Ovis aries: one gene and its partner. The protein of the gene in region 1 interacts with the protein of each later gene in a pairwise test. Links are inferred from orthologs where the notes say so. Each region holds a gene or a part of one and is shown in the gene's direction. Other genes may lie near its edges.

Region 1 (3,746 bases):
ATAAATCTGGACAGAAAGAGTAGGAGAAATAAAAAAGGGTCATGGATTATCTTTTATGTAAGTGTCTGAAAGGGACAAAGTCAAGGCTTTCCTCTAGAAGGAGCAAACAGCATCAGTGGCTGACTTGACAAAGAGATCCCTACATTTGCTTTTCCCTGGCCACCACTCAATAAACATTTACCTAGAGCCTACATAATACCAAACATTATTCTAAGCACTTTGCAAATGTTAACTCATTTAACCTTCGTAAAGACATAGGTAACTGTTGTTCAGTCGCTCATTCGTGTCTGACTCTGCAATTCCAAGGACTGCAGCACGCCAGGCTTCCGTATCATTCACTATTTCCCGGAGTTTGCTCAAACTCATGTCCATTGAGTCAGTGAGGCCATCCAACCATCTCATCAGGGTGTGTAGCTAAGTGGTAGAGCATTTGACTGCAACCATCTCATCGTCTGTTGCCCCGCTCTCCTCCTGTCTTCAATCTTTCCTAGCATCAGGGTCTTTTCCATTGACTTGGCTCTTCCCATCAGGTGACCAAAGTATTAGAGCTTCTGCTTCAGCATCAGTCTTTCCAGTGAATAGTCAGGGTTGATTTCCTTCAGGATTGACTGGTTTGATCTCTTCGCTGTCCAAGGGAGCTGGGTTGAAACCCTACCCTGCCTTCCCTTCTGAGGACAGAAGAGACCAATCGTGTCCAGTTGCAGAAGTCAGAGCTGGAGGATTCCTTAGGCATCCTCTTTCTCAACCTCTGCATTTTACAACTCAGGAAAGCCAGGCAAGCTGACAAGGCCTGGCATCTAAAAAACCACCTGACATGAACATCCCTGCCTTACAGCTACAAGCCCTGGTTAGTTTCCACTTCGGCACACACCGCCTTGTCCTTAACTAACTTTTTTTCTCCCCTGTAGCTGAGTCAGTTCCAGCTGCTGGAACAAGAAATCACAAAGCCCGTGGAGAACGACATGTCCAAGTGGAAGCCGTCCCAGAGCCTCCCGACCACCAGCAGCGGCGTGAGCGCGCAGGACCGGCAGCTCCTCTGCTTCTACTATGACCAGTGCGAGACCCACTGCATCTCCCTGCTCAACGCCATCGACGCGCTCTTCAGCTGCCTCAGCTCGGCGCAGCCCCCGAGGATCTTCGTGGCCCACAGCAAGTTTGTCATCCTCAGTGCCCACAAACTTGTGTTCATCGGAGACACGCTGACCCGGCAGGTGGCCGCCCAGGACGTTCGCAACAAAGTGATGAACTCCAGCAACCAGCTGTGCGAGCAGCTCAAGACTATAGTTTTGGCCACCAAGACGGCCGCGCTTCACTACCCCAGTACCCCCGCCCTGCAGGAGATGGTCCACCAGGTGACCGACCTGTCCAGGAACGCACAGCTCTTCAAGCGCTCTCTGCTGGAGATGGCCACGTTCTGAGCGGAGACGCAGGAAAGGGAGCACTGCCTTGGGTTACTGAGGAAAACTGGAAAACACTCTCTGGTTTTTGTAAATCTTGTCTATTTTTGTAGATATTTTTGTATAAAAGTGAAAGACTTTCACATTTCATGGGTTAGATGGCATTCAGAAATTCAGGGAACTCCAGGGGGGTGGTGTGTGGCTTTTTCCCCCCCGTGTTGTTCTTATGTATACACATAAGCATCTGAGACACAAATTGTACAGAATCTTATCCACATGTGTGTGACTACGTGTTCACGTTCGTTTGTAGATGTTTGTCTGATACATTCCATTAAGAACCATGAGATAAGAAGCACCTTAGGAGGCACCTCCCAATGCTGCATTTTCTTTTTAGAAAAACCTACCAGCTGGTTGCAATATTGCTCTACATACACTCGTGATTGTTCCGAGCCTGTCACTCCCAAGTCTGAGACACACAGTACAGTGTGTTTGCAAGTGTTCACCTTCCATAAGGAGGCGGGTTAATACCTTGTTTTCCTTTTTGAAAGCCCCTCCAAAATTGGCCGTCTCGGACATGTTATTGCAAGATGCCTCACTTCTGGTTGAAAAAAAACCCTCTTAGAAAGTTTCAGAAAGTCTTGATATATCTTAACCCAAACTCTGACACATTAGGTGCCAGAGGAGAGACACGTGTGTTGAGGCTGCTTCCTGATTAGCGCTGGGTTGTTTCAACACAGGACGCTGTCCCAACAAAAGGGGACCATGTGTTCCCCAAAGACTTTCTTTTGTGGCCCCACCAGGTGGCATGTGGGATCTTAGTTTCCAGACCAGGGCTGGAACCCATGCCCCCTGCATGGGGAGTTCAGAGTCTTTAACCACTGGGCCACCCAGGAAGTCCATCCCCAGGGCTTTTTGATCATCGGCATTTGTGAGTAATCTGGCCATGAGATTTTCCAAAGGACATTTTCAGATTTGCAAAAAAGCATATTGTTTGCAGCAGGAATTCCTAAAAACACATTGGGCAGTGATCATCCACAAAAGAAGGACGGTTCCACCCGAGTTGTAAGTGGAGGCCTTTCTGACTGACTGTCATCATCCTCTTCGGTGCTGCTATCCCTGGTACCTGAGGGAAGCTGGCCAGTTCCTCAATCACCTAAAGGTTAGAGACGCCAGGCTACAATCTTACTCTTAGGGGAAGTCGTGGCTTGATCCTGTACCCTCCCTAAAACGTGCACACGCACACCCAGCGCTCAGAGCAGCTGTCAGGAGCCCATCTAGGCTTTACAGCTCTGTCTGCCCAATGACCCCGTGAACAGCTCATTCACTGTTCCCCAGCTCAGCACAGCATCCATTCCACAGTCTGTCCTCTGATACATGCTGGGGTTGGCACAGCATCACAAGCCATCGGATTCATCATGGGGCAAATGAAACCCTTCCAACCCAATGGGTAAATGTATTCACAAATCACCAAGTCAAGAAGCAAGTTATTTATGGTTTGTCAGTCCAGTTTTCATTTAATGATCCCACTCCAGTCAACTGGAAAATGTTTGATTTGCAATATATGCCTTGACTTAATTAAGCTTGCTTGCTTTAGACAACCAAATTATTGGAACAGGAGAGGATTTAGGAGAGAAGGATATATGATCTAAGTGGGATTAAATAAAAAATCAGTAAAACTTATCCAGGAGGTGCTTTTCAGAACCAGTGTTGTAGTTCTCAACATTCTATTCTGCCAAAAGAAGTCAGATTGCTGTAGGACAAGCAAGTGTGTGTGGAGGAAGGGGGTTGCTAAAAATCAGCAATGAGTTTGAAAAAGTGTCCTTGTAGATTTCATTGTATCATGTATTTCTTAGGAGATGACTTGTTCTATGCTAAGAGGTGACATTTCATGTTTTCAAAACCAAAATGTTCAATCTGTGTTAATCTCTTTCCCGTACTATATGTAGAGGCTATTTTTAAATCATTAAAATTTTGGATGTCTGTTTTCATAGGCCTTGGGTTTTCTTTTTCCATTTCTTTCTTTGTCACACAGTTAAATGTTAGCTTATTTTGGCACTCCTAACATAGAAAGGTGAATTATGGTGAGTTTATTAATACTATAGATCTGGATTTTTGAGTAAAATTGAGAGCTATACGCTCATTTTGTGTCACTTCAGAATGTATTGCATTTGAAGAAAATTCTGGAATTTTTGAGCATTACCAAACCCAAATGTCTGAAAAAAGGCTTCTCTTCACCAGGAAGCCTGAATATTTAAATGGTAGGTGGGATGGTATCTGCTGTCATAATGTGAATGTACTATTGATGTCATTTTAGAATCAAAGAGAATTGCTCAACGCATTCTTGAATAG
Region 2 (3,746 bases), on another chromosome or scaffold:
AGAGGAGGGTGGTGAGCCTGGAGTGGCTACCCATATGGCAAGCATGGGTCCCATGCATGTCTCTCCCAGGCAGGAGAGCAAGGAGCCAGCAGAGGCAGGATGAAGGGCACCATGGGCTGCCTTGAGCCTCCTGCACTATGCCTGGCAGCTAATTTCTTAGCCATCCATAAGGCCTCATCTTGGATAAGGCACTACTCTACCCATTCTTCAGCCACCTTCCCCAAATGCTTCTGCAAAGTCACCCAGCAGAGGACCCAGAAGTATGCTCAGGGTCTGTTCCCTGCAGCAGCACAGTGCAGAGCAGGGAACCCGACCTCCATAATTATTTCCTTACTTCAAGGGATTTACAGCCTCTGCTACAAAGACTCATACCTTGCTTTCCTTGAAAAATACCATGGTTGTTTTCACCGTTTTCCTGCATACAGGGCAGAGTGCTTGCCTCTCCTCCAGTCAACAGGATTGATAATCCCAAGGAAATGATTTGACGGTTCCCCAGTGGCAACCCACTCCAGTGTTCTTGCCTGGAGAATCCCAGGGATGGGGCAGCCTGGTGTGCTGTTGTCTCGGGGTCACACTGAGTCGGACACAACTGAAGCGACTTAGCAGCAGCAGTAGCAGCAATCATTTAGGCTTTTAATGCCAAAAGCTTTAGAAACTTCTACCCGGGGGTCGGGCGGTGGGGGTGGGAGTGGAGAGTGGGCTGGGGCTGGCTATTCAGCCGGTGCCTACAATGCTAAGAGCCTGGTACTGGCAGGAAGGCAGAGGCAGCCACCTTCCACCGACCAGTGCGTCCTCCCCGCAGAGAGCTTTGGGGAAGTGAATCCCTACACCCGGCCAACATTTCCACTCGCGTTTTCAAAAGATTTAAAAAAAAACCGGAAAAGACCTGCAGGTCGGTAAACCCCAGTGAAGAACCAGCCTGCAGGCCTGCGTCTTTGGGATCTCAGCAGCTGACGACCCTAAATCAAATCGATCAAATCGGGAAAACCCAGGGAAAGAGAGCTTCTTGCAGAGGGCCAGGATTACTGCGTGCAGGTTGCAGGGAAGTACCCGGGGAGGGGGCCCGGTCAGGAGGACTTTCCAGCCACTCAGCGTTCATCAAAAAGTTCCCTGTACATGACCCCAGTGGCTCATCACAGGGAGTTTCTCTGATGAACTCGGGCGCGGGGTTTAGGCTTCTTTTTCCCCCTAGCAGAGGACGAGGCCAGTTCTCTTTTCTGGTCTGACTGGCTTGGAAATTCCCCGCGCCTGACCCCGCCCCGGAGAAATCCCCTGCCAGCGCTTATAGGGCGCCGCGGCGGCGCTGCCGAGCCCACAACAGTCCTAGCCCGTCGTCCCGCTCGCCCGCGACTCCGAGAGCAGCCAGAGCGCAGCGCAGCCCGCGGCCCGTGCACTGGGGAGCAGCGCCCGAGCCTTCACCGCGCCATGTTCCAGCCTGCCGAGCCCGGCCAAGATTGGGCCATGGAGGGCCCCCGGGACGCGCTCAAGAAGGAGAGGCTGCTGGACGACCGCCACGACAGCGGCCTGGACTCCATGAAGGACGAGGAGTATGAGCAGATGGTGAAGGAGCTGCGAGAGATCCGCCTCGAGCCGCAGGAGGCGCCGCGCGGCGCCGAGCCCTGGAAACAGCAGCTCACCGAGGACGGAGACTCGTAAGTGTCGCGGGCCCGGGTGGCAGGGCCGGGTGGAGGCGCTGGGCCTGCAGCCCCAGGCGCGGGGCCCGCGCAGCGGCCGCGCACCGGGGTTCGTGCACCGACCCCGAGGCTGTGCAAAGGTGCACGGCTGCCTGCGGGGCCGGGGGCCGGGGCGGGGGGGGCGGGTCGGGGGTCGGCGCTGGTTTCCGGGGCCGTGGTCCCGCGGCCCTGCGTTGCAGCCGCGCGCACCCCCCGCACGCACACCCCCGTGCGGGTCCCCTCGGCCGGAGGCGGGGCGGCGGCGGGGACGCGAAGTCCCCGCTTGCATAAGGGGGGGGCGGGAGTTTCTGCCCCGCTGGCGGGCGCCGCGCGGCCGGGAGGGGAAGTACAGGGCGTTCCGGCCGGGCGAGAGGGCGGGGCGGTCTGGCCGGCGCCCGCCGCCGAGCGCGGGGGGGGCGGGGGGCCGGAAAGTCCCTGGGCGCCTGCCAGGAACACTCAGCTCATAATAACCTCGCGGAAAACACCGCGGCCTCGGCCTCCAGAAACCCCGGCCTTGCGCAATCCCCCGCGGGCCGCGCCTCCCCGGGCCCCACGCAGTGCACTCACCAGCCCTGGGGGTTTTCCCTCTCTTCCCCTCAGGTTCCTGCACTTGGCCATCATCCATGAAGAGAAGGCCCTCACCATGGAAGTGGTCCGCCAAGTGAAGGGAGACCTGGCCTTCCTCAACTTCCAGAACAACCTGCAGCAGGTACTGCTCTCCCGCCGCGTACCTCTCTCTCCCGCTCTGACCCCGAGATAAAACCGGGTCTTGCACATGATTTCTAGATTAACAAAGGTTTGGGCATTATCTGCCCTGATTTTTTACACCTGTGTCAGCCAGTATTCTAGAACACAAAATTCCATTGATTTGGGAAGGCCTTTATGAAGCCCATCTGGGGCCTCTGGTATTTTGCTTTGCCCCTGGTATGCGCCTGGGAAAAGCAGCACCCACAACCAAGATATCTCTGGGGTTCAAGGGAACACAGATGGTGGGTTGGATCCATGGCTTATCCTTTCTGTCCCTCTTCTGTTTGTAGACGCCACTCCACTTGGCTGTGATCACTAACCAGCCAGAAATTGCTGAGGCACTTCTGGAAGCTGGCTGTGATCCTGAGCTCCGAGACTTTCGAGGAAATACCCCCCTACACCTTGCCTGTGAGCAGGGCTGCCTGGCCAGTGTGGGAGTCCTGACTCAGCCCCGGGGAACCCAGCAGCTCCACTCCATTCTGCAGGCCACCAACTACAATGGTATGTCTGGCTGTCCTGCCCATCAGAGGGCAGGTGAGGTGGACACGGGGGAGGCAGGCTGACTTAAGGAGGCCAAGCAAGGCCTAAGCTCTCAACATATGAAAGATGGAGAAAACATGTATAAAGGCCTAGTTGATGCCTTTCTAAAGTCCATTCAGAACCCAGATTCTGAGCTCTTCAAATTAAGAATGTATCCTTCAAAAGAATAGGGATATATGTATACCTATGGCTGATCCATGTTGATGTATGGCAGAAACCAATACAATATTGTAATTATCCTTCAATTGAAAATAATAAATGAAGAAAAAAAAAGAATAGGTGAAAGCTTCTGCTTGAGAAATGAGTGTTGAAACAAGTAGTTATAATACTGTCTTACTTTTGGTCTTCTAGGCCACACGTGTCTGCACTTGGCCTCTATTCATGGCTACCTGGGCATCGTGGAGCTGTTGGTGTCCTTGGGCGCTGATGTCAACGCTCAGGTCAGTGCCTCACACCTTCAAATGGGGTACATCAGGCCACCCTGGTCCTCAATACGAGGGCTTTTGCTGCAAGCAGAACTTCCAAACTCAGCCATAAGCATCTTGAATTCCTTATGGTTCCAGGAGCCCTGCAATGGCCGAACTGCCCTCCATCTGGCAGTGGACCTGCAGAATCCCGACCTGGTGTCACTCCTGTTGAAGTGTGGGGCTGATGTCAACAGAGTCACCTACCAGGGCTACTCCCCGTACCAGCTCACGTGGGGCCGCCCCAGCACCCGGATACAGCAGCAGCTGGGCCAGCTGACCCTAGAGAACCTTCAGACACTGCCAGAGAGCGAGGATGAGG

What was found. The genes of interacting proteins can lie anywhere in the genome.
Region 2: the proteins of NEDD9 (region 1) and NFKBIA interact in binary tests that used the Homo sapiens proteins (3 or more experiments, as listed by UniProt). The two-hybrid records come from large-scale screens. The link is inferred for Ovis aries from reciprocal best matches to the Homo sapiens genes NEDD9 and NFKBIA.

Annotation. Positions count from the first base shown.
Region 1 is NC_056073.1:44,332,900-44,336,645, forward strand, and holds the end of NEDD9 (enhancer of filamentation 1), read left to right. Parts: intron 1-908; coding exon 909-1,418; 3' UTR 1,419-3,387; downstream 3,388-3,746. UniProt on the Homo sapiens protein: Scaffolding protein which plays a central coordinating role for tyrosine-kinase-based signaling related to cell adhesion. As a focal adhesion protein, plays a role in embryonic fibroblast migration.
Region 2 is NC_056071.1:43,394,939-43,398,684, reverse strand, and holds the start of NFKBIA (NF-kappa-B inhibitor alpha), read left to right. Parts: upstream 1-1,337; 5' UTR 1,338-1,425; coding exon 1,426-1,652; intron 1,653-2,273; coding exon 2,274-2,382; intron 2,383-2,710; coding exon 2,711-2,921; intron 2,922-3,311; coding exon 3,312-3,400; intron 3,401-3,523; coding exon 3,524-3,746. UniProt on the Homo sapiens protein: Inhibits the activity of dimeric NF-kappa-B/REL complexes by trapping REL (RELA/p65 and NFKB1/p50) dimers in the cytoplasm by masking their nuclear localization signals.